3 linked regions of the Saccharomyces cerevisiae S288C genome follow. The protein of the gene in region 2 interacts with the protein of the main gene of each other region in a biochemical or structural test. Each region holds a gene or a part of one and is shown on either strand. Other genes may lie near its edges. The genes, in order: IME2, MCM6 and SLD2.

What was found.
Region 1: of the proteins of MCM6 (region 2) and IME2, one has a biochemical effect on the other in vitro, tested with the Saccharomyces cerevisiae proteins (one study listed by BioGRID).
Region 3: the proteins of MCM6 (region 2) and SLD2 form a complex in vitro, tested with the Saccharomyces cerevisiae proteins (one study listed by BioGRID).

The regions. Positions count from the first base shown.
Region 1 is NC_001142.9:217,235-228,372, forward strand, and holds IME2 (protein kinase IME2), read left to right. Parts: upstream 1-4,155; coding exon 4,156-6,093; downstream 6,094-11,138. Other genes in the region: snoRNA-binding rRNA-processing protein UTP10, read right to left, coding at 1-75; pheromone-regulated protein PRM10, read right to left, coding at 471-1,622; YJL107C (uncharacterized protein), read right to left, coding at 1,619-2,782; SET4 (Set4p), read left to right, coding at 7,821-9,503; import motor complex subunit PAM16, read left to right, coding at 10,093-10,542. UniProt on the Saccharomyces cerevisiae protein: Protein kinase which is essential for the initiation of meiosis and sporulation.
Region 2 is NC_001139.9:114,389-126,421, reverse strand, and holds MCM6 (MCM DNA helicase complex subunit MCM6), read left to right. Parts: upstream 1-5,514; coding exon 5,515-8,568; downstream 8,569-12,033. Other genes in the region: MDS3 (Mds3p), read right to left, coding at 1-1,724; YIP4 (Yip4p), read right to left, coding at 2,124-2,831; EMP24 (Emp24p), read left to right, coding at 3,117-3,728; ARO8 (bifunctional 2-aminoadipate transaminase/aromatic-amino-acid:2-oxoglutarate transaminase), read right to left, coding at 8,861-10,363; KEX1 (serine-type carboxypeptidase), read left to right, coding at 11,758-12,033. UniProt on the Saccharomyces cerevisiae protein: Acts as a component of the MCM2-7 complex (MCM complex) which is the putative replicative helicase essential for 'once per cell cycle' DNA replication initiation and elongation in eukaryotic cells.
Region 3 is NC_001143.9:229,272-239,489, forward strand, and holds SLD2 (Sld2p), read left to right. Parts: upstream 1-5,154; coding exon 5,155-6,516; downstream 6,517-10,218. Other genes in the region: KTI12 (Kti12p), read right to left, coding at 1-609; transcription factor HAP4, read left to right, coding at 2,956-4,620; YKL107W (putative short-chain dehydrogenase/reductase), read left to right, coding at 6,870-7,799; YKL106C-A (uncharacterized protein), read right to left, coding at 7,876-7,995; aspartate transaminase AAT1, read left to right, coding at 8,265-9,620; SEG2 (Seg2p), read right to left, coding at 9,914-10,218. UniProt on the Saccharomyces cerevisiae protein: Has a role in the initiation of DNA replication. Required at S-phase checkpoint. Also required for the proper activation of RAD53 in response to DNA damage and replication blocks.

The sequences.
Region 1 (11,138 bases), on a different chromosome or scaffold from region 2:
TCTTCTCTTTCTATCCAACGCAACAGTAGCATTGTTGGAAGCAACTTGAGCTAATTGGTCACTCAACGAAGACATTTTCAAAGTTATTCGTACTTTGGTGGCCAGTTAGATAAGTCTGATTCTGAAAGGTAATAAAGAAAGTATTTGTTACACCTTCGAAAATATCTAGCTCATCGCTAACTGAAAATTTTTTTCTTTGCTTAACGCAGAAAGAAAAAAGAAAAAAAAAAAAGTCATGTGACTTGAATATTATTAATCTATGTATGTTATGATTATTGGCTATGAAACCATAAAATTGAAAAAAAGGATTCATAAGCTGATATGTTATTTGTACTTAATGCTATATTTATAATTTACTTTTGAAATTTTTCTTAGTGGGTCAAAGTCTTCTTTGATACTGAAGAATGACCCAATGGCAACACTTGGTCCATTGGTTAACAAGTTTCTAACGAAGTGGACCTTGTGAGAGCTTATAAACTGAAAAGACCAGTTTTCTTTTTACCAAAGGGGTAGACAAAGAGTGAAGAAGCAAATAGTCCCACAGAAATACCGACACAAACTTGAATCATTGTCATACCAAATGACATTGAGGACGATGGATCGGAGGTGCTTGTCGTAATGGTTTCATTAGCATTAACAATTGTATTTGCACTTTGCAACCCAGACAACAACGAATTTTGTGAAGCAATACCAGATGGCACTTGAACGAAGATTGCGGGAAGCATAGCTGATACCGCTAAACCTTTCCAAATTCTGGAATATAGATTACCTAAAACACCTATGACAAATGCAGCTAAGGCGGCAGTAAACTCTGTCGAATTCGCAAAATGCTTACCGGCCCAATATGTTACGACATAACCGGTGCAAGAAATGAAGACCATAACTGGCAGTTGTGAGATGTGTGCTTGATTTAATAACGAGATACTAATGGTAAACGCTGGAACGAAGAGGAACCTGAACCACGGAGAAATTAATTGAGGACATGAAATTTCGTTAGTGGCATTGTGATACATCCATCCAAACAAAGCTGAGCCCAATGTTATGCCAAAACCCAAAAACAAAGAATAAATAATGGCGTAGAACATACGGACCGCGCCAGCAACTAGGCTTCGACTTTGCAGTTCTAGTGCACCACACAGAATAATATAACCTGGCAGGATTAATGCCAATGAGCCTTGTGTAACTGCACCAAAGCAGATGTGAGAACGAGGGATAGAGCCAAAAGCTCTACCGCAGAAGCTAACGACAATAGATGCAGAAATTTCGAAGACGTTTGAATACATGTATGACTTTTGTGAAAGAATAAATTGTAATGACCCCACACAAAGCCCCATAAAAAATGAGATTGCCAGGTTTACCCAATCGCCACCAAAGGCATACGGAGTGACCATAGCGGAACAAAATGCATATAAAAGAACACACATCCAAGGTGGATATAGATTCGTGTCAGCCAAAATTTGATCGAGTAAAGCATTACCTTCATCGGCACCTAAGGTATCATGGACAACTCTTTTGTAAACGGCATGAACTTGATGCAGCTTCCAAAGGTTTAGACCTTGAGTACACCTAACCAATTGAACTTCGGAAGTTCTTGTTGTTGCATCACCAAATGAAACAATCATACAACCTGGAAGATACAAAACTGACCATCTATTTCAAGGACTCTAGAAGTCATAACCATATATTCTTCAAGCCTATGCGTCGGAGCACCATACATCATAAGAGCTCTACACATGCGTAGGATGAACCGGTGTCTTTGTAAAATGTCTGCAATGTGAACCGTAATTTTCGCTTCAGTTTTTAGTCTTTTCTTCAGTCTAGGCATTCTGCCTTTTTTAGCCTTGCCTTTTAAATTTTGTAATCTGCTACGCTTGGCAACTGGTACGTCTTTGTTTCCAGCAGTAGAAGAAATACCTTCATCATCTGTTGTTACAGCTTGTGAATCTGAAAAGATTGAGCTTGAATTTTGATCTTCATTTTGGTAAAGTTTCAATAATGACCCTAGTACTCCACTTTTCACTTGAGATGGAGGGGGTACGTATGTGGAGGTTTCAATAAACCCTTCGTTATCGTCGGATGAATTGTTTTCTGCATAATCATCAAAATGATCCACTGCAGGAGCCAGAAATGAATTTTTTGAACTTGAGCCTAACGTTTCGCCATCCGACGTACAATTTACGTCACCTTCTAATTTGAGAGCCTCCAGTTTTTCTTTATCGTCGCCCTCATGAACGTCTACGATTTTAGACGCATCAGCTAGATCGGATAAGGGAATTTCTTCATTACGGTTATTTTTTTCTATATCATTCTTCCCATTTTCATTTTCTGAAGGTATTGGTGCCAAGCCAGGGACCAAACCCCCTTGATTTCCAGTCAGGTTATTTATTATCTTCTTGATGAACGTCTCATCGTCTCCATCCTTACCATTGTTCCTTAAATGTGTGAAAGAAACTTTAGGCTTCCTCTTGTGGCGAGCAGGCCTATCTTCTTCATCTTGTCCATCTGTGCCCTTAGAATTATCGCTGGTTTCTGTAGATCTTGAAGACAAATCATTTTCTAGAGCATCCGTATCAGCAGTGAATCTTACATTTTTGTTATCATTATTAGAAATACCTAGATCACTGATGCTTTTACCACTTAAATTGCCTTTTTTGCTCTCGGCTGAATTGGAAGTGCGATGGTCACTACTATCTTCAAGATTCACTCCCGCTTGACTTTGCTCGGAGCTTCCCACCCGAAAATCTGACACAGGAGTGGTTGGTTTTTCATTTCTACCGTCCATTGTATAGCCTATCGGTTATTCGATCTTTTTTCTTTTGTTATTCTATATCTAAAAGATAAAAGTCGCACACCGCTAAGTAAGTAAGTAAGTGTTATATAAGATTTATTTAGCTACGTTCTCAGATATAGTAGGCTTAAAACAAACGTAAAACATAGTTATATATTAATATGCAATTCGGTTTATTTCTTTTTCAAGATTCTTCCGAATTTCGTCATATTGGGTTCGCAATTTTTGGCGATGGCTTTGCTTCGATATTTTTCGGATGAAAATAGTCAAAGGACACTAGAAACACGAATGGCGCGCTGATTACGGAGACGTCGGGCTAAGACAAAGAGGGTCCATTCGGCGTGCTGGTGGTACTGTGACAGATAAACCCAATGCCCCACTTTTCTCGAGGAGTTGAAACAAGCGGGACAACTGCTACGTCATAAAAATGGGAGTACCAAGGGAGGAGCCATAAGCCGGGTAAAATTTGGCGCTGTTTTTCTTAATCTAAAAATAGTTCAACAATAAAATTTGGGCTCCGCCCATCCAGACCAAAGCAATCTTCGGCCTTAACAAGCCAAAGGGAACGAAACCCAGACTCTACCATGCATTTCGAACATGTTGTAGCTAACTACACTGGTAACCCAGATACCTATTCTCTCAGTAGCTGTTTCACCAAGACTCCGCACTCATGGTAAGTAGAAAAAGAAAACTCTCACAAAAATCTGAGTGGCACAGCTTTTCCAAATACGCTTTTTAAACTTGGAGAAATAAAGATGTATTACCCGCTGGTGCCTTAAAATATCCTTTTCTCCGGTTGTCCAATAATTTATGTTACGGCGGCTATTTGAGTTTTTGTGGAAATCTCTATCATTAATAAATGTCAGCCTTGTGTCTTAAATGCAATTCAACAGGGAAAAGGCGCGAGACTTCGGCGGCAAAAAGCCACAGACAAGTGCTGGTTGCAAAGAGGTAAAGAAGTAATGTGTGTAATCAAATAGATATATTAAGGTAGCAACTCACCGGTCTGTCCATTTTCTTTTCCTGAATAACTTCTTCTGTCTTCACACATTCATTTCATTTTTATTTTCCAATATCACTCAACGAGAAAGAAGTTACAAGATCTATCTTTCAAAATAGTTTACAGTTACCTTTACTTTACCCTTTCCCTTTTCAGTTTGTTACCCCTTCTCCTAAAAGTTTTATTTTTTGGGTAAAGATATAAAGGACACTCCAGTCGGTTAAGGTGGCTGTCTAGAGAATATAAACCTGTATTTATTTACCAGGCTTATCAGAAAAGTTAATCGTGTTCTTAAATATTCATTGAAAAGGAACGTGATACAGACGTAATAAAAGAAGAGTACTAAGCTTAACTTAATAGGTCATTTATGGTTGAAAAACGTAGTAGACAGAGTTCCAGTAGTGGCTCAGAGTTCAGTGTTCCACCTGATGTCGATAACCCGCCACTTTCTATCCCTTTGAAGACTTTATCAGACAGATATCAGCTGATCGAAAAACTAGGTGCAGGATCATTTGGTTGTGTAACTTTAGCCAAAGCGCAATTTCCTTTATCGAACATATTGGGTAAACAACATGATATAAGGGGTACTTTAATGGATCAGCCTAAAAATGGTCACCAAAACTATATAACAAAGACACAAGGTGTAGTGGCTATAAAGACAATGATGACAAAACTGCATACACTCCAGGATTATACGAGGGTCAGAGAAATTAAGTTCATACTGGCAATCCCAGCGAATGACCATCTGATACAAATTTTTGAGGTCTTTATTGACTCTGAAAATTACCAATTACATATCGTAATGGAATGTATGGAGCAAAACCTATATCAAATGATGAAACATAGAAGGCGCCGAGTTTTTTCGATTCCTTCTTTGAAATCTATTCTATCGCAGATACTGGCTGGGTTAAAACACATCCACGAACATAATTTCTTCCACAGAGATTTAAAACCTGAAAATATTCTTATCACACCAAGTACCCAGTATTTTGAAAAGGAGTACATGAACCAGATTGGATATCAAGATAACTATGTCATTAAACTTGCAGATTTTGGTTTGGCACGCCATGTTGAAAATAAAAACCCGTATACGGCCTACGTTTCCACAAGATGGTATAGATCGCCTGAAATATTATTAAGAAGTGGTTACTATTCCAAACCTTTGGATATTTGGGCATTCGGGTGCGTGGCGGTGGAAGTTACTGTATTCAGAGCTCTCTTCCCCGGTGCTAACGAAATCGATCAGATATGGAAAATTTTAGAAGTTCTTGGTACACCTATCAAACGTTCTGATTTTGTTAATACAAACCACATCACAGCTCCACCACCTGGTGGATTTTGGGATGATGCCAGTAATTTGGTCCATAAATTAAACTTGAAATTGCCTTATGTAGAAGGTTCATCGTTGGATCATCTACTTTCTAGCTCCCAACTATCCGATTTATCTGAGGTTGTCAAAAAGTGTTTAAGATGGGATCCTAATGAAAGGGCAACAGCCCAAGAGCTTTGTGAAATGCCATTTTTTGAAAACACCGTGGCATCCCAAGTAGACGCAAGAGGCAATGTGACTAATACAGAACAAGCATTGATTTTTGCAGGTATAAATCCAGTAGCGACCAACACAAAGCCCATATATTTTAACTCTTCAACAAAATTGCCCGCAGAAACAGAGTCTAATGATATTGATATCAGCAACAACGATCACGATTCTCATGCTATGTGCTCACCAACATTAAATCAAGAAAAACTAACTTTGGTAGAATTTTTAAACGAATTCGTTGAAGAAGATAATGATGATCACTCAATACCTGATGTTGGAACAGATTCTACCATTTCAGATTCTATTGATGAGACTGAATTATCAAAAGAAATTCGTAATAATTTGGCCCTTTGTCAACTACCAGATGAAGAAGTCTTAGATCATTCATTATCGAATATTAGGCAGTTGACAAATGATATTGAAATTATAAATAAAGATGAAGCAGACAACATGGAACAGCTATTTTTTGACCTGGAAATTCCTGAAAAGGATGAGTTTCAGAGAAAACAACCATTTAATGAACATGCAGATATTGATGAAGACATCGTTCTACCATATGTGAACAACTCAAATTACACACATACAGATAGGTCACATCATAGAGGTGATAATGTTTTGGGTGATGCCTCTTTAGGCGATTCGTTTAATTCAATGCCAGATTTTACTCCAAGAAATTTCTTGATACCTACATTAAAAAAATCACGGGAAAAGTTCGAGCCTCATCTATCCAATTCAAACCAACATTTTGGAAATGTAACCTTCTAATAATTTGTCATTTGACTGACGAATCGTTAGGCACAGTTATATAGTTATATACACATAGACATACATATGTTCGCATATATATTATATTACTATGCATTCACCTAAATAGCTACTGCTCTATTAATACAGTGCTTTTTCGATGGCTTTAATTTAACTTATTAGACATTACTTTGCGTTTATTCCCCTCCAATATATTTTTATGTTTGTTTTTCTTGAACATTTTATGATTTCTTGCTCTTGGCGGCTACTGATTTTGTTAAGCAACTCATCAAGAGGTCAAAAAAAGTAGAACGAGATCTTTGTGTTCGGTTACCCGGCTCAGATCCTAACTTGGTATGTTTATTCGTATAAGTTACTGTTGTCCACAGGCAATACTCTGCAGAAAATTAAAACGGCATTAATGCTAGGACAACCAGAACTGTTACTACTGTATGTGCGATAGTTGATAACTGCAACATTATGCCCGGTATATTCTCAAAAAACCCTATTACTGCATACGAAGAAATCGCAAGAGAAATCTTTCGGTTTGGAAAAGCTCACTGTGAGGTTCCTTGGAGCCAATAGTAATACAGCACAATCCAAGGAAAAATCTGGCCTATATGCAAGGAAGGAGAGATAGTCAAAAGCATTCTTTCCCCTAGAAGTTGGTGCATATATGGCATCGTTAAAACATATTACCCCCAAAATTTCTTCTCTAAACGATGTGCTTGGCCTTTGTTTTGGTTTTTGATGTCGGTCGTTTGAGGCCCCTTGCGGAAAATCGAGATCGCCGAATGGCACGCGAGGGAAGGGAAATAAGGTTTAAAGGCACTGAAACAATAGGCAAGAAGTAGGCGAGAGCCGACATACGAGACTAATGTGTCCGCGTTTCTAAGGCCACTTTTCAATGAAACGGATATTGATATGCTAGTAAAAGGACGAGCTCAAGAGCGAAAATATAAGTAAAGAATTCGAGTGCACTTGTCTCCATGCAGCAAGATTTCATATGAGTCTTTTTTATCTTTTTACTTTTTACATTACACGATATGCACTTTATGAAAATTTAACGAGGTTGGAAGCCGGATAATCAACCAAAATCAGGCACGAAGGCACACTCGTATATGCATGTTGTTGAAACTCTGTTACGCTGAACTAACAATCACACATGTAGAGGTCACCGGGAAAAGTTGCGACCCCATGGAAGGTCGATCTCTTCGTTTGGCTTTGCTTGGCTGGCGGCATTGCGCTTCTTCGCTTATACCCGTCTCTTGACGCTCGAGCTCGTTCATTGAGATACCTTTATTCTTGCACATTTTCTGGCTTTTTTCGCTACTCGGGTACATGTAATCATGCACACAGAAGGTGCTGTAGGGTGAAAGTTCCTTTGTGCTGTCGTTTGTTTTTAATGCCAAACTTTCTGGTGATCAATAACCACCTCTTTTTCCTTCAGGAAACCTTATTATTGTTCTTGGATAGTACTAGGAAGTATATAAGGAACCTCGATTTTGGTATTGCACGGCTATACACATCTAAGAAACTTTGTATAAAAGGTGGCTACCCTATTCATAGCTTGATATCAATAGGCCATCTCATCACTTTTTATTGAAAAGGAAAGGAGGGAAATATATCTGATTCAAATTACTTGTTTGCTTCTCTTTAAGACAAAAGCATAGATAATTTCAGCGTGGAACGCCGGAATAAGATTGGTACCCTCGTCAGAAAGTTACAAATACCGCTTCATCTTCAAAATGACTTCACCGGAATCACTATCTTCTCGTCATATCAGGCAAGGAAGGACATACACAACCACAGACAAGGTCATATCGCGGTCGTCGTCGTACTCATCTAATAGTTCAATGTCTAAAGATTACGGCGATCACACACCCTTGTCCGTCAGCAGTGCAGCTTCAGAGACATTACCCTCACCTCAGTATATGCCGATAAGGACATTCAATACAATGCCTACAGCTGGCCCAACGCCTTTACATTTATTTCAAAATGACAGGGGCATTTTCAACCATCATTCTTCATCAGGCTCATCAAAAACGGCATCAACAAATAAAAGAGGAATAGCAGCAGCAGTAGCATTGGCAACTGCTGCCACCATACCATTTCCACTGAAAAAACAGAATCAAGATGATAATTCCAAGGTCTCGGTAACACACAATGAATCATCGAAAGAAAATAAAATTACACCCTCCATGAGAGCAGAAGATAACAAACCTAAAAATGGTTGCATCTGCGGTTCAAGTGACTCCAAGGATGAGTTGTTTATACAGTGTAACAAATGTAAAACGTGGCAGCACAAGTTATGTTATGCTTTCAAAAAATCAGATCCAATAAAAAGAGATTTTGTTTGCAAAAGATGTGACAGTGATACGAAAGTGCAGGTTAATCAAGTAAAACCAATGATATTCCCTAGAAAAATGGGAGATGAGCGATTATTTCAATTTTCATCCATAGTGACAACTTCAGCATCGAACACAAATCAGCATCAACAGTCTGTGAATAACATAGAGGAACAGCCCAAGAAACGTCAACTTCATTATACCGCCCCAACAACTGAAAATAGCAATAGTATACGGAAAAAATTGAGGCAAGAAAAACTGGTAGTATCAAGCCACTTTCTGAAGCCACTACTGAATGAGGTAAGTTCTTCCAATGACACGGAATTCAAAGCAATAACAATATCAGAGTATAAGGACAAATATGTTAAGATGTTTATTGATAACCATTATGATGACGATTGGGTTGTTTGTTCTAACTGGGAAAGCTCAAGGTCAGCTGACATCGAGGTAAGAAAATCATCAAATGAAAGAGATTTTGGAGTCTTCGCTGCAGATTCTTGTGTTAAAGGTGAGCTAATTCAAGAATATTTGGGCAAAATTGATTTTCAAAAAAATTATCAGACAGATCCAAATAATGACTATCGTTTGATGGGAACGACAAAACCTAAAGTACTTTTTCATCCACATTGGCCTTTATATATAGACTCTCGAGAAACAGGCGGATTAACAAGATACATAAGACGGAGTTGTGAGCCCAATGTGGAACTAGTAACGGTAAGACCGCTTGACGAAAAACCAAGAGGAGATAATGATTGTAGAGTTAAATTTGTTTTAAGGGCTATAAGAGATATTCGTAAGGGAGAAGAGATAAGCGTAGAATGGCAATGGGATTTGAGAAATCCTATTTGGGAGATAATAAATGCATCTAAAGATTTGGATTCCCTACCGGATCCCGACAAGTTCTGGTTGATGGGGTCAATAAAGACTATTTTAACAAATTGTGATTGTGCATGTGGGTACTTGGGCCATAATTGTCCAATAACTAAAATCAAAAACTTTTCTGAAGAATTCATGAGGAATACGAAGGAATCCCTATCTAATAAATCTTACTTTAATACAATAATGCACAACTGTAAGCCATAAACGAAATTTTAAAATTAATAGTATTCATTTTAATCTTTTTTGAAAGCTTAATTTTATCATCATAATTTTTCTTCCAAAACTTCAATCTTGGTATTTTTTTTCGCATTGGTCTTCATTTTTTTTCTTTTGTTTTTAGCTTTAATGTTGAAAGCGTGAATATCAAAACACTTTTATAATAAATCACCACTTTGTAACTATAGAGAACAATTCATGCTTTATTTATAGATGCCACGATTAAGCATCAATCATTAGTTGAGAGGATCCTTAACGTTAAAATCCACCGCACTTTTCCTTTCAAAAAGCTGCATTGTTTCCATAATTCATTTCATGGCAGGTTAATGACTTATTTGATATGAAGAGTGAGGTTCTTATCAAATGAAATTCCTACATATGAATTTTTTAAAAGAGAGTTTTTCGTTTTACGATATTTATTTACTTCATCATCGTTTATCATTTTTCACGTAGCAAATTTTGAAGCTTCAACTTATAACTCATTTGCATCCGATTCACATATTTCAGCTGACTATAAATTTGGCAACAGCTTCGTGACTTGAGCATAAGAAAAACATAGACTTGTTGGATATAAAATATGGCTCACAGGGCTTTCATACAGGTTATAATCACAGGAACTCAAGTTTTTGGAAAAGCATTCGCCGAGGCGTATAGACAAGCGGCTTCACAATCAGTGAAACAAGGTGCTACAAATGCATCTAGAAGGGGAACAGGAAAAGGCGAATATGGTGGTATTACGTTGGATGAGAGTTGTAAAATTTTAAATATTGAAGAATCCAAGGGCGATTTAAACATGGACAAGATTAATAACAGGTTTAACTATCTATTTGAGGTTAACGATAAAGAAAAAGGTGGAAGCTTCTACTTACAGAGCAAAGTTTATCGAGCAGCAGAAAGGTTAAAATGGGAACTGGCTCAGAGAGAAAAAAATGCGAAGGCGAAAGCAGGGGACGCTTCAACAGCGAAACCTCCTCCGAATTCAACAAATTCATCTGGTGCAGATAATAGTGCAAGCAGCAATCAGTAGTCAAGGAAGCCTCCATCATTACGTCACAAGTGTTATCGAAAGCATGCAGCAGTGCATATATTTTCCTAGTTGGTTGCTTCCTGTACGTTAGGAATCTTCAACCACCATCCTTGTATTTAGTTAATATTAGTATATGTACCAAAGTAAATATACTCAGATGCCATCTCGATATACGCACCGTACACGAAAATGAAATTAAAAAAAAAATGTTGGAGCACAAGCAAGGCAGCATCAGAACGTACCGTCAGTTGGTACCAAGACAAGTCCATCCCCGTAGGCACTACAAATTATGGGAATGAGAAAGTATACAAAATATAAACTGTCTTATCATGAAGAAGAGTCGCTTAGGAATTTAAACTTTCAAATCGCATTACGCAATTCTCTAAAAACGCGAACCTTTCCCTGATATGTAATCAGGGAATTTCCTCAGAATAATATTCGATCTAAGAAACCGGAAACGAAATGAAAATTGTTACTACTTTGTTTAGGAGTAGTCAAAGTTCATTCAGCTATGGGTTATGATGAAATGATTTAAATTATTCTCGCTCCAGTATTAACTTATTACGTAATATGAGCTTAAAAGAGCAAGCTCCTCA
Region 2 (12,033 bases):
AAAAGCATGTCGAAATAACGGCCCCATCTTTTCCTCAGCAAATAGCATGGTATACCAATGGAGTCACCTTCACTAGTAATAAATTCAAAATCAGAAAGAGGCTTCCCGTAAATCTCTAAAGCGTCTTTACCTAGAACCATGGCATACGGTGGAAACACAGATTGGATAGAAGACATTTCCAAGGGCGGAGCTATATATCTAATGTAGTTTTCAAATTGGGAGGTAGCTGATGAAGTGAAGCTCACCTTTTTTAATGGAGTATCCTTATGCTTCGCAAAATTTTCTATGGGTATTGGTAAAGACGAAGCTGAGATCTTGTGATGGGGTAATTGGATCGTCTTGTTAAAAATATTTACCAGCGGTAATCCAAAAGTGGAAAGATGGTCGAATCTTTGTACACTGGGTGAATAATAATCATCAGTCTTGGTACCCAACAAAATCGTCTGATGATGCGATTTCCAAACAAATACCCTCCAGAATCGATGTTTATTGATATCGCAGTCAGGGCAGGCGGTAGCGACTCGTGACCACTTTCCGGAGTTAATATCGTATATAAAACAATGAAAGTTAGAGGATTGGTAATTTGGATGAAACCCACCGATTATGATATTGAATCCAAAATAGTCACCTGTCGGTGCTAATAGCTCATACGGAACATTCAATAGTTTTTTCGGTAATGCCGGGTTTGAGGGCATTCTAATACCTTGCGATTCAGACAATAGCGGCAACGCCACTATAGGCGAATTCTCCTTTATCTTTGATGAATCCTTTCCGAGATATTCGTCTATTTGATCACTTCTCATATAGAATGCCAGCGCTGGAACGTTGGCCTCATTATTTTCAACTAAAATCGAAAAATTCTGATCCTTTGATAATGCTAATGGTATGCCATTGACATTTGTAGTGATTTCCATCGGTTGTTTGGGTATGGTTTCGGATTGCCAGCAATTCTGTGAGATGTTATAGATGTCTATTTTCTTGACCGGCTGATCCATGTTATTAAGACCTCCGACAATTATTAATTTCGTGTCTCTATTATCGTTATTTTCGTTCTTTACATGCATGGTATGGTTGAACCTTCTCGCTATTTGAGGGTCATCACTCAAAAGCGACCACTTCTTCGTGTTTAAATCCAGTTTCCACAACTCATTGGTAGCAATCAACTCATATCCGCTCTGAGGAGACACTGTGAGACCACCAAATATATATAAACAGCCATCTAAATAACATAAGGAATGGAATAGCCTCTCCTTGAGCGGAGATTCAAGGGATTTACCTTTCTTAATGTCCGTTCTAATCTCGTTTGTGTCATTATCTGCTTTGGCGCTAGAACTCTCTGCCTTTAATAATTCCTCTGTCCTTTGGTCAAAGGAGGTCTTGACTCTGTACCAGGTTCTAGACATCAAGTCTAAGAAAAACGTCTCCTTACTTATCCACTCGTTTAAATTCCTAAAAGAACTACCGTTGTTTTTTTCCTTTGCAAAAAAGAGAATAAGCTCCTTTTGTAATTGCATAGAATTTACAACTGGCAGGTTCAACGGGATGGTTAGACCACCATGTACAAATATATTAGACCTTGTTAGCGTCACCGCTGAACCTGTTCTATAGTCCAGCGTTAACCTTTTCCTGGCGCATTCATCAAACTCGTTGGAATCGGAAGTCAGTGGTAATGGCGGAAGCTTCAAAGGGTAGCAGAAGCAAGTGGATGGTTGTAATAAAGGCATACTACGCTAAAGCAGGTGCAGATTGTTACTTGTCCTTTGGTTTGCACGCGCGCTATGTTATCTTATATATATAGTAAAACAGAAAAGTCTCTAAAGCGCCTTCACCATGTAATGTTTGCAAGTGTGGCTATAGGCACAGGAAGGAGAAGAGTTCTCAAACAATTGTGGTAAACGGACGCTGTGAACTTGAAATAGACTTTGCCAGACTCTGCGCTACCAATTCATCAGAAAGCCTAATCTTGCTTTGAACTTCTCTTACACTCCACGGAGTCTGCCTTAGCCACACGCCAGCCCCTGTGAGCGTCCTCTTTTTTTTTTTTTTCAGAACTTTCTGCCGTGGCTCGCGAGATAGGCAATTCTATGTCCATGATATTGGGTTTTATACATATGTAACTAGTGTTATAAAATAGTTGACAACCAGGCCATGCCAAAAAGACAGAGTGCCAGAGGGTATATCTCGATAATGGTCTTGCTCTTGGTAACCCACGAAACGGCGGCCACAGACCACATCAGGCACAGCGCCATGACCACCAGTTTCACGAGCGACAGGACCCTCACAATCCAGCGATTTTGCTTTCCAATATGGTAGGCCAATGGAAGTAGTATCTGCGAGACTAAGGCATTCAGCACTTGTGGGAATAAGCAATACCCGGAAATGGAGATGTACGAAATCAGCGACACCCTCTGGTGTGGCTTGGTGAGTCTCAGATGCAATGCCATCACCAGCAAAATGAACCAACTAGACACAAATAGGCTCGAGAACAGCGACCGCGCATGCGATACAAATAGAGAATACAATATGATAAACGCAAGGGGCGCCCACAGGTCGCAATTGGCTGAAATGTCGTTATCAGCCGCCCCTATCCCGTCATCAGAGGGGCTAAAGAATGAGGGGAAATGCGGGTATACCACTTGTTTCAGTCTGGAATTAATCTCCACCACATCTCGCTTTAGTGTTTGCAGCACAGTCTCGTCGAGCGTCCCTCTGCTGCCTGAATTCTGCATAGTTCCGCCTATGTTGTCAGCAACACCCCCGGAAGCAGCCAAAGGTGCATCTGGTTCTATGAAGTCGGGCTCAATCGTAGTGTCTTCTCTTCCGTATGACATTTTGCCTGCCCTCTTGTGACATATCTTTCTACAAATATTGCTAAAACAGCTTCATTTGCTATTGTAAAAGGGGACGAAAAATCACTGTGAGAAAATCATCACTCCGGGTAATCCAATTTTCATGAAAAAAGACGCGAGGAAAGTCAGAAAAGTCGTGCAAAACAGCCTGAGAGATCGGGTCGCTTAAACATTTTGACACGAAACTTATAATGAAATAAAAAGCTATACTTGGTGAAACTGCAATCTTAATAGTATCCCTCCGCACAAAAATACACACGCATAAGGATGGCCTCATTTGCTACTAAGTTTGTCATTGCTTGCTTCCTGTTCTTCTCGGCGTCCGCCCATAATGTCCTTCTTCCAGCTTATGGCCGTAGATGCTTCTTCGAAGACTTGAGTAAGGGTGACGAGCTCTCCATTTCGTTCCAGTTCGGTGATAGAAACCCTCAATCCAGTAGCCAGCTGACTGGTGACTTTATCATCTACGGGCCGGAAAGACATGAAGTTTTGAAAACGGTTAGGGACACGTCGCACGGTGAAATCACATTGTCTGCTCCATACAAGGGACATTTCCAATACTGTTTCTTGAACGAGAACACCGGTATCGAGACAAAAGACGTGACTTTCAACATTCATGGGGTGGTATATGTGGATTTGGACGACCCAAACACCAATACATTGGATAGTGCTGTCAGAAAGTTGTCCAAATTAACCAGGGAAGTCAAGGACGAACAAAGTTATATTGTTATTAGAGAAAGGACGCATAGAAATACTGCAGAGTCGACCAACGATCGTGTTAAATGGTGGTCCATCTTCCAATTGGGCGTCGTTATTGCAAACTCTCTTTTCCAGATATACTACTTGAGAAGATTCTTTGAGGTCACATCTCTAGTCTAAGTAAAGCAGGAAAATGTAGTTCATATCTATTTACTTTTGCCTACATACGATTACATACACGATTGGATAACCTGAAGTCGCGAATAATTCTCGGTTTCATACTTTTTACCTTGATCCTTCCACTGTTTTTCCCTGTGCCAATTACATGTAAATAAATATATACATATATATGGTCCAGGCGCGCCATAAAACAAATACAGGTTGTAGCGAATCAAAAAATGGGAAATACATACGAAAAACTTGAAAGAAACAAGTACCACAGGACATGCTGTGGTCCGTTTTTCCCCAGAGCACTTTTATGTGGGACTCTTAGAAGGGAAATAGCTCTGTTCATATAGAACAAAAAAAGAATAGCCCTGTAGGGGGCTCGAACCCCTAACCTTATGATTAAGAGTCATACGCGCTACCGATTGCGCCAACAAGGCTAATTCGTTGGAAAACGTCCCCATTTCAGGGAAACATAGCTCACGATGTTAATAACTGATTTGTAGCCGAGCCACATTGTATCAACGCGTGATTAACACATGTTTGGAATATACTGTTGGAACAAGAATCAACTAGTGCTCATATTAGCAATATATTACTATATACGGTGTAAGAAGATGTCCACTATAGTCAGCCATATTCTTGATCTTACGAAAGGGAACTGTGATGTAAAATTTGTGACACTGTGACACCTTCTAGTGAAATATAGGGCATTACCAAAGTCACTAATGAGTAAAAATACCAATTACTGTCCGTAGTTCGTCAGATTAGAATCCACTATATTTTCTTTGATTGGGAGTTAACGCTGCATACTTGTCTTGGGTACTGCGTTAACCATAAATCACATAAGCGTCATTCATTATCGTACCTCTGGGTAAGTGTTTTTCAGGAGTTTTTATATATAATATGCTGGCCCCCAAGGCGGATGAGGACTGTATACGGTTTTGACGTTAAAGTGTTATATGAATCGCAGTCGCATACACTAGTGGACCCCTAGTTCCGCGATACGTAGTTGACCCTCAGTACAGAGATTCCCACGATTAACGGGTGTACTGCTCCTGACTAATGTAATTTTGAGTTCACCTGTTGATGTGGTGCTGATACTGGCACCAGTACTAATGTTTGGAAGAACTCCGTAGCATTAAGTGGAGAGATTAATCCGATACTGAGCTGAATAGTTGGTTTCACTCCCGCAAAAAGATATCAATACAGTTTGCTAACAACTTGGGAAACCCTGATGAGAAGAATTAGCGGTCATCCTGAGAAATAGGTGACCATTTAAATGGTCACTTGAATTCGATTTTCCAGTAAGGGAAGTGTCATTCGGAATCCAGAATATACCAGAAATAAGCAATTTTGCATGATAGTGCTGTTATCCTTTCTTGTGTTTTATACGATATCATACATCACCCCATTACGTTATTTATCTTGCATTTCAGTTTTTACTGGGTTTACCCTTTTCGCGATTTATATCATATTATCACCGCACATAATATACTAGTAACATTACTATTCGTCGACAAACAATAGCTTGTTTTGATTCCAGTTCTCATAACATTTGTGTACCTATTCTTTTGCCGTTCCTTCGCTATTTGGTATTGTCATCTAAGTTCGTCTATTAAATTTCCTTTTTAGGAAAAGCGCCTAATAGGCCTTTCTTGAAGCTTTTTTTTTTTCTTTCTTTAATCTACAATAATAACAAAATATTTCATTCTTAAGTGATTTACAGCGAGTATCTTACACTTCGCCACCGGTGGATAGGAAAAATAGACTTACCAAAGGTTAAAACTGGTTTTTTTCAATGTCATCCCCTTTTCCAGCTGACACACCAAGCAGTAATAGACCTTCCAACTCCTCTCCGCCACCATCGTCGATAGGTGCTGGCTTCGGAAGCAGTAGCGGACTCGATTCGCAAATAGGCTCTAGGTTACATTTCCCAAGTTCTTCTCAACCGCATGTCAGTAATTCACAAACAGGCCCTTTTGTTAACGATTCCACTCAGTTTAGTTCTCAAAGGTTGCAAACCGATGGTTCCGCGACTAATGATATGGAGGGAAATGAACCTGCCAGAAGCTTCAAAAGTAGAGCTTTGAATCACGTTAAGAAAGTTGATGACGTTACTGGTGAAAAAGTCCGTGAAGCGTTCGAGCAGTTTTTGGAAGACTTTTCCGTTCAATCCACTGATACTGGTGAAGTTGAAAAAGTTTATAGAGCTCAAATTGAATTTATGAAAATATATGACCTAAACACCATTTATATAGATTATCAGCATTTATCCATGAGAGAAAATGGTGCTCTAGCTATGGCTATCTCAGAACAATATTACAGATTTTTGCCTTTTTTACAAAAGGGTTTAAGAAGAGTAGTAAGAAAGTATGCACCTGAATTGTTAAACACAAGTGACTCATTGAAGAGATCCGAAGGTGACGAAGGTCAAGCGGATGAAGATGAGCAACAGGACGATGATATGAATGGGTCGAGTCTACCAAGAGATTCTGGATCATCAGCCGCACCAGGGAATGGGACATCTGCCATGGCAACGAGGTCAATAACAACTTCTACGTCACCTGAACAGACGGAACGTGTTTTTCAAATCAGTTTCTTCAATCTACCAACAGTTCACAGAATTCGTGATATAAGATCTGAAAAGATTGGTTCACTATTGAGTATATCAGGGACAGTGACAAGAACATCTGAGGTCCGTCCAGAATTATACAAGGCAAGCTTTACGTGTGATATGTGCCGTGCTATCGTAGATAACGTAGAACAGTCCTTCAAGTACACTGAACCGACATTTTGCCCGAACCCATCATGCGAAAATAGAGCCTTTTGGACATTAAATGTTACAAGATCCAGGTTTCTTGATTGGCAAAAAGTCAGAATTCAAGAAAATGCTAACGAAATACCTACAGGCTCCATGCCGCGTACGCTGGACGTCATTCTTCGAGGTGATAGTGTCGAAAGAGCCAAGCCAGGTGACCGTTGCAAATTTACGGGTGTGGAAATTGTAGTACCTGATGTTACACAATTGGGGCTACCAGGTGTGAAGCCAAGTTCAACATTAGATACTAGAGGTATTTCGAAGACTACTGAAGGTTTGAATAGTGGTGTTACTGGTTTACGCTCTCTTGGTGTTCGTGATTTGACATACAAGATTAGCTTTCTGGCATGCCATGTTATCAGTATTGGATCAAACATTGGTGCAAGTAGCCCTGATGCAAATTCTAACAACCGAGAAACTGAACTACAGATGGCTGCTAATTTACAAGCTAATAATGTATACCAAGATAATGAAAGAGATCAAGAAGTATTCTTGAACAGTTTGAGTTCAGATGAAATAAATGAGCTGAAGGAAATGGTAAAGGATGAACATATTTATGATAAATTGGTCAGATCTATTGCTCCAGCTGTGTTTGGCCATGAAGCCGTAAAGAAGGGTATCTTGCTTCAGATGCTCGGTGGTGTTCATAAGAGTACTGTAGAAGGTATTAAGTTAAGAGGAGATATCAACATCTGTGTTGTTGGTGATCCCTCTACTTCTAAGTCTCAATTTTTAAAATACGTAGTGGGATTTGCACCAAGATCAGTTTACACTTCCGGTAAGGCCTCGTCGGCTGCTGGTTTAACAGCTGCGGTTGTGAGAGATGAGGAAGGAGGTGATTATACAATTGAAGCAGGTGCTTTAATGCTTGCTGATAACGGTATTTGTTGTATCGATGAATTTGATAAAATGGATATTTCAGATCAAGTTGCCATTCATGAAGCTATGGAACAACAGACCATCTCTATTGCTAAAGCTGGTATTCACGCTACTTTAAATGCAAGAACATCAATTCTAGCGGCTGCCAACCCGGTAGGTGGAAGATACAATAGGAAACTATCACTGAGGGGTAATTTAAATATGACCGCACCGATCATGTCCAGATTTGATTTATTTTTTGTTATTCTTGATGACTGTAACGAAAAAATTGATACCGAATTGGCATCTCATATCGTTGACTTACACATGAAAAGAGACGAAGCCATTGAGCCGCCATTTAGTGCAGAACAACTACGTCGTTATATCAAATATGCACGTACTTTTAAACCAATATTAACGAAAGAAGCCCGTTCCTATTTAGTCGAGAAGTATAAGGAACTGAGAAAGGATGATGCCCAGGGATTTAGTAGATCGAGTTATAGAATCACAGTTAGGCAACTTGAAAGTATGATTAGATTATCAGAAGCTATTGCGAGGGCTAATTGTGTCGATGAAATTACTCCATCATTCATTGCAGAAGCTTACGATCTTTTAAGGCAAAGTATTATTCGTGTTGATGTGGATGATGTGGAAATGGATGAAGAATTTGATAACATAGAGAGTCAAAGTCACGCCGCTTCTGGAAACAATGATGACAATGATGATGGGACTGGGTCAGGTGTAATTACGAGTGAGCCACCAGCAGATATAGAAGAAGGACAAAGCGAAGCTACAGCTCGTCCAGGTACAAGCGAGAAGAAGAAAACAACGGTGACGTATGATAAATATGTGTCCATGATGAACATGATCGTTAGAAAGATTGCTGAAGTAGATAGGGAGGGTGCAGAAGAACTAACAGCTGTGGATATAGTTGATTGGTATTTATTACAGAAGGAAAATGATTTGGGTTCGTTAGCAGAATATTGGGAAGAGAGAAGATTAGCGTTCAAAGTCATAAAAAGGTTGGTCAAAGATAGGATTTTAATGGAGATTCATGGTACCAGACACAATTTAAGAGATCTTGAGAATGAGGAAAATGAAAATAATAAAACTGTTTATGTTATTCATCCAAACTGTGAGGTTTTGGATCAATTGGAACCACAGGATTCCAGCTAATTCAGTGCACTCTTGCGGATTTTCATATTTCGTTTCAAGTATCGTTCACGTTGTAAATTCCTATCGTGTGCATTTCTCTTTGTGGGAGAAAAATATCTTACATAACTTGGCTCTCAAATCAAGTTATAATTGTTGTATAAAGTTGTACTCTTAATGAAAAAACAAAATATTATATTTTGGCTTCCACTTGCAGTCTTTTACAAAAAGAAAAAATACTTCGAAATTTAAGCAATACAAAAATACGTACGTCCTTTTTTCACCTTATATATATTCTTCCAACGTATTTACCTCTCTATTTGGAAATACCAAATTCTTCGTATAAAGTATCACCTAATCTCTTCAGACCTTCAGTCAGTTTCTCAGGAGAGACAGCTGCATAGGTACCTCTGAAGAAAATTATGTTTGGATTACTGACTTCTTTAGATTCAGCGGGTTGAGGAGGTTCCGTCTCACCCTCACTCTTGAACCAAGAACCGGGAACCACTAAAACACCACGTTCAACCACTTTGTGGTAAAGACTCTGTTCTAGCTGGTAAGGGTCTGAGTTGTATTTTGTTTTAAACTCAGGGTGGACAGATGCGTCAATGTTCACGGTGAAAAACATACCTGCAATTGGAGGATTGATCACGAAAGCATCAGATTGTGGTAGATACTTGTAAAGGGCATCGATGGCACAGTCACGTTTCAAAGTGTATTCATGACGCAGGCCAAGCAACCAGTCCAAGTAACCCTTTTGACCCCACCTGGATAGCGTAGCGTTGACCAAAACTTGTGTAAAACCTGCTGGGGCTTGAATCGTCATTTCATGCAAACTCAAGTAAGGCTTCAAGATTTTGGATGAACCAGTAATCCAACCCAATCTTGTCCCTGGGGCCAAAACTTTTGAAAAGGAATCCATTCTAATAACACGGCCTTCTGTATCCAAGGAAAGGAAAGTGTTTGCCAAGGACTTCAAAAATTCGTCATGGTCCTGCTTTGGAGAACTTTGTGCCTTCTCTCTTTCCTTCAAGTCTTTGATGTAGGGATTCATTTGTAAGAAATAATAAGGTTCATCTTCCACAATTAGGAAGTCGTACTTTTGAGCGATCTTGTAAATTGCCTCCTTTCTATGGTCTGCAATGGAAGTACCAGTTGGATTTTGGCCCGTTGGAATAGTGTATAACAACTTTGGTTTAGGAGCACCAGGTGTCCAGTTTTCCATGACTTTAGCTAATTTTTCAGGAATGATACCATCAGCGTCAATTGGCACGGGGAAGGTAATGACACCTTGAGCCTCTGCAGAAGCCAATGAAGAGGAAAAAGAATGTGCCTCAACTAAGATGACATCACCTCGGTTACAAAAGACTCTTAAAGTAGATTCCCAGGCATTTGTGTTACCTGCAGTGGCTAAAACGTCCCAGTCCTTATACTTCAAATCGTGGATAATCTTGGTATGATCTCTAATGAAGTTTAATAGTTCAGGTTGACCAGCACTGAACCCGTATTGCAAAGCTCTTGACAAAGGAATATCGTTGGAAGGATTGGCACTTTTATCAGCGTAATCTTTGTTGACGGTGTATTTTATGCAATTCTGCTCGTCAATTGGAGCTCCAATACCCTGGGGAAAAGGAGGCTTGGGTGAATCTACAGATAGATTATCCCATGGGAAATAATCTTTTAATGGCAGGCCACCACCCAAAAAGATAATGTTAGGATCTTGGAAAAGATGGATGCAGGTTTTCAATGGGGATGGTTTACGAGCATTGGTTTCATCCGAAAACAAGTAAGAAAAGTCTTTTGATTCAGGTAAAGTCATGATAGTAACGATCGGTTGTCCTATTCAATGTCTGTATCAACTGCAGGGTTTAACTTAGTGGAATGGAAAAATAAGAAAAAGAAATAAGTTCTTAAAGATATAACCAAACCAAATATATAGTCTAGAGATGTGTATAGGAGGGTCTACAAGATAAGAAAAAAGATTGCGATACACATATCTTCAAATGAAATGCGCTTAATATTAGTCATAGATTGGACCTCGAGAAAGTGAAAAAGTGCAGAGTGAAAAATGTGATAAAAAAAGGAAAAAAAGACATCTAAGGTAACCCGGATGTTCTTCATTATTCCGGCGCAATTTAGTACTGTTCTTCTATCAATGGCAATTCAGAAGCCAGATTCTTGAATGAGGTGAAGGAGAACAATGGTTATAGGTTAATTAAGAGATTTTTGGATGGTGTATATGAGCCATGTTTAATCTTGGAAAAATAGTGAACCGGGAAAAAAATAAAGAAGAACTCCTCATAGGGGGCTCGAACCCCTGACATTTCGGTATCCTTGCTTAAGCAAATGCGCTTAAAAGCCGAACGCTCTACCAACTGAGCTAACAAGGATGAGTTCTTCGGATTTCTTCGATAATAGTTTTAGTTAAATATACATTATGTTCACATAATGCTATTATTTAATGCACATGTTAATGGACGGTAAACTACTTATCATTTATTGCAACAAATGAAAAGACACCACCCTAACAGCACGAAAAATGATGTTAATGTCTTGTATAGTATTGTCGGATAACTAACTCTCGTCTCAACAAAGCTTAAATAAGAGCTGAGAGATTGGTGAATTTTAAGATGATTGTAGGCATTTCATTGTTGATCAAGGCTACAATATTATGTATACAGAATATACTAAAAGTTCTCCTCGAGGGTAGAGGAATCCTCAAAGGGGAAGCGATATTTCTACATAATATTATTACGATTATTCCTCATTCCGTTTTATATGTTTCATTATCCTATTACATTATCAATCCTTGCACTTCAGCTTCCTCTAACTTCGATGACAGTTTCTCATACCTTATGTCATCGTCTAACACCGTATATGATAATATACTGGTAGTGTGACTACTAGTTTATAGACGATAGTTGATTTTTATTCCAACAGGATCATTTTGTTAGGTGAGGAATTGCGAGCTTTTTGGCTATAACTTTCAAGTTTTGTCACCAACATTTATATTTGCTTACTGCAGCCCGGAACCGAAAAACAATGTGGAAAAAGAAAAAAAAGTGGAATATTTTGATAATATAGGAAACATTAAGAAAAGCGATTTCTTATCATTGTCTTCAACTCCCATCTATTTGAAAAAGCTTGCTGAAGCATACTTTGGTTAAAGAGTACCTTGGCTATAGAATACCGTAGAGATAAAGACCTGAATAGATGTTTTACAATAGGTGGCTCGGAACGTGGCTAGCCATGTCTGCTTTAATAAGGATCTCAGTATCCCTTCCGTCATCTGAGGAGTACAAAGTGGCATATGAGCTGTTGCCAGGGTTATCTGAAGTGCCAGACCCTTCAAATATTCCACAGATGCATGCTGGCCATATTCCTTTACGTTCCGAAGATGCGGATGAACAGGATAGCTCTGACTTGGAGTACTTTTTTTGGAAGTTTACCAATAACGACTCTAATGGCAATGTCGACCGTCCCTTAATT
Region 3 (10,218 bases), on a different chromosome or scaffold from region 2:
TGAGTTCGGTTTTTGTAAGCCCTTACTCAACGGATCATTGTGTCCACTGTTTTTAGCCGATTTGGAAGTTTGAAAGACTACTTTACAAATATCGTCGATGTAGTCAGTTATGTTGTCCTGAGGAGTAAGAATAGCAAAGAGTGGAGAGTCCCATCGGTTGCTTGAGTTAGGCTCTTCGTATCGTTGAATCAATTGATTCAATAACTCGGGTTCCCAAGGGTTCGGGTTTGAAGTCTTATTCCACTCGAATATAGTCTCTGGTGGACACAGTGTTTGAATTACACAAAATGTGGTGGACAAATTTTTCACCTCGCAGTGAAGTTGATACCGGAAACCCTTGATATAATTCAACGAGTCTACAATGACTATCTTGTTTTTAGATAGATCTCTTTTCACTGCGGAGATGATCTCCGACCTCAATTTTCTTTCATCTTGGGAAGTTATATAATCTGAATGTTTTATGCCTAAAGATTCATCTGAATGATAGGTTATGGAATATTTACTTAATGATGGGGTTGCATCGATCTTGGACTGTAGTAGTTGTACCAAATGTTTAGCAAGCGTTGTCTTACCACTACATGGGTATCCCGTAAAAAGCACCAGTGGCATCTTCTTACTAAATTGCCTGTTTAGTTTTTTCAAAAGTTTTACAAGGTCCCTTTACCCTCATTCTGATACGTTATTGTTCAAGTTTCACCTGTTCATCAAGTATTCTTCATTTCTTTTTCCATCGCGATGACGATGACAAAACGGCAAAAAGTCAAAGAAAAAGAAAAAAAAAGATTTTTTTTCCATCATATGCAGAGAGAATATGTCCAAGCCAAGCGCAGTGTGCATGTATGCTGTTTTTAGCATATCGGGTGTGCGAAAGGAATGACATAATGATTTGCAACTAATATTTCCTTATATAAATATGCTTCTGGATATGAGTCTCATGAAACAAGTTCAGTAATTGCTTGTTTTACCCTTACTTTTTTCTTGGTTATGACTTGTGTACATAATAAATTGCCTATTTTCCCAAATTGTGTCCTTTTTCCTTTCCGGTTGGTATGAGATATTTCTTTTCAAAAATCAAAAGAAAACAACAAAGGGTTGATATTATGTAATGCAATACCTAGAATCGGGAAAAACTTGTTTGTCGTACCAAGAGAGGCAGCACTGGCGTGCCTTGATTTAATATAACTCCTGAGATAGTGGGGGTTACATGAGTTGTACAGCATAAGACTCCCTCTCCCCAGTTCTGTTCGTATATGTCGGGCTTGCTTGCGAAAGCAAGGGGTTCAATAAACAGAAAACAGAGTTTTTGGATAAAGTTTAAACAACGGAAACAGAGCAACAATGAAGGAGAGAATAAGTATCAATTGTGTAATTCTGTATACCGTAGTGCACAGTACGCTGTGCGCAACTCTTGCCTAAAAAATCTAGTTATCAAGCGGGGTGAATATGCTACAATGCCTCTTTTACGTTGTACTCTATCAAGGGATGATAGCAGTGGCACATATTGATTGATACGACTTTTCGCCGCGCGGTAGGCGAAAAGCAAAGAAAACTACAGTAATATCCAGAAATAGATGCATTTTATGTGCGAAATAAAACTCATGCTGAAAAAAATAGTAATAATTAATAGGGTAACGAATAGAATGCAAACCTTATCACGTGAAAGAGAGAACAATCATAAATGATTTAGTGCGTAGGTCCAGATTTGCGAAACACTGCGGAAGGCGAGAAAAGAATTCGAATATGAAGTAGGTAGAAGCAGAGGTAGGGCCGCTATTTAAAGATATACTTTTTCTGTACGGGCCGGTGACTTCGCAGTAGTGATGTACTATGAGATCACTATTTTGCCGGAAACTGTAGGCAAAAACCGTTTATGTCTTTTTTTCACCTTACGGGATAACCTCTGCTGAGAATTTCCAAAACTAGGCATGGATGATTGCCGGAATTTGAAACCCGGGCCCCGGAGGTTGATCGCACGGCAAATACATAAGAACCTTCTCCGCAATACGGGCTTTCCTCAATTTTCTTGGCCAAAAAGCGAGTCGGCCCCGAGCTACAAATCGGGAACAACGGAGGAATAGAGCGACAAGTTGATTCGGTCGTGCAGCCCGGAAAAAAAAGGCTGTCCTGCGGGCTTTATTCACTCCAATGCCGCTGAGAGGAACACGCGTTTCGTGGGCTTTGGACCACTACCCCGGCGTTCAGAGAAACCCCCCGGGGCAGGGGTCCGAAGTCTAAAAGTTTAATCCGGAAGTAGCGACGGGGGGGAAGCCCGCCGCGCACAGATGGCCAGCACAACGGAGCGGGGCCGAGGCGGCAAACGAGGTTAAGCCCGCTGAACCTGAAAAAAAAAACGAAAATTTTCTTTCATCAAGGACTAAAGTTTTCTTATGTTACGGATCTTGCACGCGGTAAGCAATGGCCGTAGCCTTTTCACAGTTGCTTCCAAGTGTCATGTATCGATTTTGCAGATTGTTCTAAAAGTAAATGGATTGCTATTTTCTTTCCGAGACTACTCTAAAAAAATTTATTGAGTATGAGATCGTTTTTAGATAAATTATATATATTGTAAAGCTATTAACTAATCTCCTATATCAATTTCTTCTTGCTTAACCCCGTGTGGTTGTTTAGGTCCATCTCCTTTTTCCTTTTAATTTTTTTACCTTTATTAATTCCTTCACCTCTCTAAACCCCAGTTTTATATCGTATATGCTATCTACAGGTCCACTTTACACTTAATAATATAAAAATACTACTATAAAGGAACCAGAAAAATAAAAAAGGGTCATTATTTATTTGAGCAGATCATTATCAAACGCATAGGAAGAGAAAAAACACAGTTTTATTTTTTTTCCACACATATTTATTGGTCTCCTAGTACATCAAAGAGCATTTTAATGGGTTGCTGATTTGTTTTACCTACATTTTCTAGTACAAAAAAAAAACAAAAAAAGAATCATGACCGCAAAGACTTTTCTACTACAGGCCTCCGCTAGTCGCCCTCGTAGTAACCATTTTAAAAATGAGCATAATAATATTCCATTGGCGCCTGTACCGATCGCCCCAAATACCAACCATCATAACAATAGTTCGCTGGAATTCGAAAACGATGGCAGTAAAAAGAAGAAGAAGTCTAGCTTGGTGGTTAGAACTTCAAAACATTGGGTTTTGCCCCCAAGACCAAGACCTGGTAGAAGATCATCTTCTCACAACACTCTACCTGCCAACAACACCAATAATATTTTAAATGTTGGCCCTAACAGCAGGAACAGTAGTAATAATAATAATAATAATAACATCATTTCGAATAGGAAACAAGCTTCCAAAGAAAAGAGGAAAATACCAAGACATATCCAGACAATCGATGAAAAGCTAATAAACGACTCGAATTACCTCGCATTTTTGAAGTTCGATGACTTGGAAAATGAAAAGTTTCATTCTTCTGCCTCCTCCATTTCATCTCCATCTTATTCATCTCCATCTTTTTCAAGTTATAGAAATAGAAAAAAATCAGAATTCATGGACGATGAAAGCTGCACCGATGTGGAAACCATTGCTGCTCACAACAGTCTGCTAACAAAAAACCATCATATAGATTCTTCTTCAAATGTTCACGCACCACCCACGAAAAAATCAAAGTTGAACGACTTTGATTTATTGTCCTTATCTTCCACATCTTCATCGGCCACTCCGGTCCCACAGTTGACAAAAGATTTGAACATGAACCTAAATTTTCATAAGATCCCTCATAAGGCTTCATTCCCTGATTCTCCAGCAGATTTCTCTCCAGCAGATTCAGTCTCGTTGATTAGAAACCACTCCTTGCCTACTAATTTGCAAGTTAAGGACAAAATTGAGGATTTGAACGAGATTAAATTCTTTAACGATTTCGAGAAACTTGAGTTTTTCAATAAGTATGCCAAAGTCAACACGAATAACGACGTTAACGAAAATAATGATCTCTGGAATTCTTACTTACAGTCTATGGACGATACAACAGGTAAGAACAGTGGCAATTACCAACAAGTGGACAATGACGATAATATGTCTTTATTGAATCTGCCAATTTTGGAGGAAACCGTATCTTCAGGGCAAGATGATAAGGTTGAGCCAGATGAAGAAGACATTTGGAATTATTTACCAAGTTCAAGTTCACAACAAGAAGATTCATCACGTGCTTTGAAAAAAAATACTAATTCTGAGAAGGCGAACATCCAAGCAAAGAACGATGAAACCTATCTGTTTCTTCAGGATCAGGATGAAAGCGCTGATTCGCATCACCATGACGAGTTAGGTTCAGAAATCACTTTGGCTGACAATAAGTTTTCTTATTTGCCCCCAACTCTAGAAGAGTTGATGGAAGAGCAGGACTGTAACAATGGCAGATCTTTTAAAAATTTCATGTTTTCCAACGATACCGGTATTGACGGTAGTGCCGGTACTGATGACGACTACACCAAAGTTCTGAAATCCAAAAAAATTTCTACGTCGAAGTCGAACGCTAACCTTTATGACTTAAACGATAACAACAATGATGCAACTGCCACCAATGAACTTGATCAAAGCAGTTTCATCGACGACCTTGACGAAGATGTCGATTTTTTAAAGGTACAAGTATTTTGAAATAGGCATGTTGCAATAAAACGAAAACAACTAAAAATCACGAAAACAAAATGATATTATACAATAAAAAATTCTTATTATGGGTAATGATAGTATTCTTCGCCTGCTTAGGCGTCCTTTTCCTTCAACAACAAAAATTCCAAAAAAAAAAAGTAAAAAAACAAAACTTTGATTGTTTTTTAATGATGTTAATGATTTTTTTTTTCTTTCTTTATCATAAAAAAAAAGTTAAAATGAAAAACAAATATGGGTCTGGAAGGCCATTATTTTTTTTTTATTTATATACCGTTTCTGGTACTTAGTTATTTATTCTCATACATACACTATATTCAAATTACCTAAGAGCATTTTCACATATCCGTTTACTTTCATTTTTTTTTTTTTTGCTTCCTTTTTACATATCTTCCGTATATCACATCACGTTTACGCGTATGGTGAAACACGTCAAGAGAAAAATGATAAAATCAAATTTTGATTTACATCAGGCTCCACAGGACAGGGAAATCTATCTAGTGAGGCGATAACTGTAGTTCGATGTACTCATTTGAACTGGACAAATTGAAAATTGAGCTGAAAACATGGGAGCATGATTTCATTGATAAAAATAAAAGGGAACCCACAAGGGATGACATCAAGAGCCTGCGGACTGTTCGGCAGATGTATAAACAATATTCCACACTGAAGAAGAAACAATCTTTGCAACGACAAAAAGTTGACACTCAAGAGTCGGTTGAACTCCCGGCACATAAAAAAGACCACGACGAAGTCGTAGAGATAGGCCCTACTCCCCAAGTTTACGGTAAGGCGATTAGTATCTTTGACATGAATTTGTCGCCTATAAAGCCTATATACATGACATTCACAAATAATATTGATGTTAACAATGATAACTCCAAGACAATTTCTAATGAATCTTCTCCACGAAAAACTATTCTCCTAAAATCGTCGCCTGCAGATCGTACGTTAGTGGCGGAACCAATATCCAGTGTGAAACGCCAATTAAACTTTCAAATGCTAAACGCTTCTTCTACACGTACTCCGACTTCATCACCATGCAAGAATCGCAATGGGAAGTTGGTAGAAATCAAGAAATGTAGTCCAACTATTAATCCTCCACTAGAATCTGGCAAACCATCGGGGTATTATGGACCTAATTCCCCGCTAAAATTGGATGAAGAAAACATTCACCTAAACATCTCACTTAATTCAAGCACTAAACGCCGGCTTCAAATAGCATATCCATCTTTACAGAAGACTCCCTCAAAGGATCAAGCGGATATTTCAACTTCATTTAGTCCGTCTCCACTCATTAGAAGACCACTGACGAAATCCCTGATAGAATTGGCCAGGGAACATACTGAAATTGTAAAAGAATTTGGTGTCTTACAGGAAGAAGATATTGAAGAGGAAGAGGAAGGAGAAGAAGGCGAGAATGGTTACGATGAGAAAAACCACGAAGACGACTTTGGGCTAGAAGATGAACTAATTAGACCAAAAGTTGTGAAGGACATATTTCAAGAGGATGATGATAATGATGATAGCCAAGCAAGGGAAGATACCTTCATAAGAAAGAGACCCAAAAGAAGAAAGGTTATCAGAAGATTACGAGACAATGATCCAGAAACCGAGACCGCAGGTTTTGAGAGAGATGTCCATAAGGAGCTGGTGAAACTCAAAAGAAGGAAAGTGGCAGAATTTTTGGGATCCACCTCACAAATCTCTGATACTGAATTTGAACATGATCCGGAGGCAAGCAGCGGCGTTGTAAGCTCAGAGCAAAAGCCTACGGCTAAGCGAAAGGGTAGAAAGAAGTATAATCTAGTGAGCAATAACTTCAGAAGACTAAAACTGCCAAAGAAAAACCGATTCTCTAATGGACGATGGGGAAGAAGGTGAGCGTGATGGCGTAAATAATACAAACATTTGTAATTTATAGAAACCTATTAAGTATTCAGTTAGATTCCTTCAGCTGCATGACGTATAGTTTATATGGACATCATACGTATTTTTATCAATATAGAGACTAGCATGTTTTTACACTTTTTATTTTTGTTGTTCAATTAGGGGCCTCGTCCATATATGTATATATATTACATAATCTGCAATCATCAATTAGGGGAGGAATAATCGGCAGAGGTATAAATACAAAATTTAAAACAATTCAAGTGAATGAAAAGGTGAACCAACAAACAGAATATTACCACGTATCAAGGAAAAACTAATAATAGTATATTGGCGCATTTAGCAGGATGTTCTGGAAAAAGGATCCCACCGTCAGTTGGGAAAGAAAAAATATCAATGACATTGATTTTAGTCGTTTTAATGTGGCCATAATTGGTGGCACAGGTGGACTTGGACGTGCAATAAGTAGAGAGCTGGCCCAAAGAAATGCCAGGGTTACTGTTGTCGGGCAAACTTTTAGGGACGAGGACCTAAAAGATAAAATTAACTTTGTCAAGGCTGATTTAAGTTTAGTGTCAGAATGCAAGCGTATATCTCATAGTGATGAAATTCCCTACGAGGAGTTAACACATCTGATTTTCACTACGGGTATTTTTGCATCACGCCAGAGACAAGCTACAAGTGAGGGTTTGGAAAAAGACATGGCAGTGAGCTATTTGAGTAGATACATTATCTTCCATGATGTGGCGAAGCGATTAGGAATTAGTAGGACAAAAAAAGACGATTTGCCAAAAGTTTTCATAGCAGGGTTTCCAGGAAATGGTCAGGTGGGAGACCCAGATGACTTGAATTCTGATGAAAAGAAGTATAGTGCCTACGCTACACATATGAACACTGTGGCAGCCAATGAAAGTCTGGTCATAGACGCTAAAGACAGATACACGAATATAGATACTTTCGGTTTGAACCCTGGGCTGATCAAAACGAACATTCGTAATAATCTTCTTGGCAGTGACACCTACCTCAGCCGCATTACAGAATGGATAATCAGCTGGACCTGTCAAAGCGCAGAGACGTATGCGAAAACAATATGCACCCTGATTGCGAGCCCCGCTATCGAATCACGCAGTGGTACAATGTTCAGCAACAAAGGCGATGCTATTTTACCTTCGCCTGGTTTGACCAAAGATGTTGTTGAGAAGTTTATGGAAAATTCGGAACTTCTAGTTGAAAAGGCCTTGCGTAATCAAAGTCCTTTCACTTCCAGTAACGAATGACTTGCTGTAACTAATTGGTTTATATTTAAATATTTCACTTTTTAAAGGGCGTTTGCATGCGACCATCGTCGATGATTCATATTGTTCGGATGCGGAAGATGGCTTCCATGAGTTTTGCACGCCGTCTCATGTGATTGTTGGAGTCATAGCTCGCATATCTTCCTATTGTCAGATGTAATATCGACGGAAATGGCATCTTGGAGTATGGAAGCACTATTCTGCTTTGCTCCAATATTTAGGATGCCGCATTTTTCATATTTTTTTTTACATTTTTCGCTTACGTATATAAATTGCTAGCAAGTATTCGCTCTCTCTGTCTTGGTTATCTAATTGCTAACCGTCGCAATTGAAAAGAAAAAAAAAATACAGAATAGACGATAGCGGATTGAACGATAGCATACTATTGAGTGCGTTTTCCCTTCTCATTTGAAAATTACTATCCGTTTTTCACTGCCGAAAGACTTGATGTTGAGGACGAGGCTTACTAATTGCAGTCTATGGAGGCCCTACTACACGTCATCGCTTAGTAGAGTACCAAGAGCACCTCCAGATAAAGTCTTGGGGTTATCTGAACACTTCAAAAAGGTAAAAAATGTTAACAAAATTGACCTGACCGTAGGAATATATAAAGATGGTTGGGGCAAAGTGACGACGTTTCCCTCCGTTGCAAAAGCTCAAAAATTGATTGAATCTCATTTAGAGTTGAATAAGAATCTTTCATATTTACCAATAACAGGTTCCAAAGAATTTCAGGAAAACGTTATGAAATTTTTGTTCAAGGAATCATGTCCGCAGTTTGGGCCATTTTATTTAGCCCATGATAGAATCAGCTTTGTTCAGACTTTGAGTGGTACAGGCGCCCTAGCTGTAGCAGCTAAATTCTTGGCATTATTTATTTCAAGAGATATTTGGATACCTGACCCATCATGGGCAAATCATAAGAACATTTTTCAGAACAATGGTTTTGAAAATATTTACCGGTATTCCTATTATAAGGACGGTCAGATAGACATCGACGGATGGATTGAGCAATTGAAAACCTTTGCATATAACAACCAGCAAGAAAACAATAAGAACCCACCTTGCATAATCTTGCATGCGTGTTGTCACAACCCTACAGGTCTCGACCCAACTAAAGAGCAATGGGAAAAGATTATAGATACTATATATGAGCTAAAAATGGTACCCATTGTTGATATGGCTTATCAGGGTTTAGAGTCTGGTAACTTACTAAAGGACGCATATTTATTGAGGCTATGTCTCAATGTAAATAAATATCCAAATTGGAGTAACGGTATCTTTCTTTGTCAATCTTTTGCCAAGAACATGGGCCTTTATGGTGAACGAGTTGGTTCCTTAAGCGTTATCACGCCGGCAACTGCGAACAATGGAAAGTTCAACCCTCTACAACAGAAAAACTCATTGCAGCAAAATATTGACTCCCAATTAAAAAAGATTGTCAGAGGTATGTATTCTTCTCCACCAGGATACGGTTCTCGTGTGGTAAATGTAGTATTATCAGATTTCAAATTGAAACAGCAATGGTTCAAGGATGTTGATTTCATGGTTCAGAGATTGCATCACGTCAGACAGGAGATGTTTGACCGTCTAGGGTGGCCGGATCTTGTAAATTTCGCACAACAGCACGGTATGTTTTACTATACAAGGTTTAGTCCAAAGCAAGTCGAAATATTGAGAAACAATTACTTCGTCTATTTAACAGGTGATGGTAGATTGTCGCTTAGCGGAGTCAATGATTCGAACGTTGATTACTTATGTGAATCTCTTGAAGCAGTCTCGAAAATGGACAAACTCGCATAATTTTTTCACCTTACAGTTCACCTTTGTCTTTATTTTTTTATTACTTTTCCCTTCTCATTTTGCCACACAATAATTTATAGAATATAATAATTTTTTGTAATAATTAATAAACCTTTTTTTTATCTACTCTATATACACTTTTCAGATAACTAGATTGGATTAATTCGTGATCGAACTAGTTATTAAATTTTAAATGAAAAGAAAGCTAGCGCTAGCCAACTATTTTAATTACGGTGGCAGTGCATCATATCCTTACATTTCATTTTAGGTTTCCTATGTTTTCTTCTTTCAAATCATTTCCTGCCAAAAATTTTTTTCAGTTTCCTACCGAATTTACTGTGACCGTGACGGTCATGCGACTTATCTTTTATAGCTGCATCATCGTTATGAAGCTTGTGTATCTCTCCATTTTTATCAATGATAGTCACCGGAACGCTTAATGGTAAGGCTGTAGGCAGGTCAGGATTTGATGACTCCAAAGTGGCTGTTCCACCAGATATGTTCCTATTTGACAATTGGCTTTTATTTCCGAATAATGAAAACCGGTGGCCTTCTGTACCAGCTTCGCTTACGTCATTAGTGTTCATGGATGATGCAG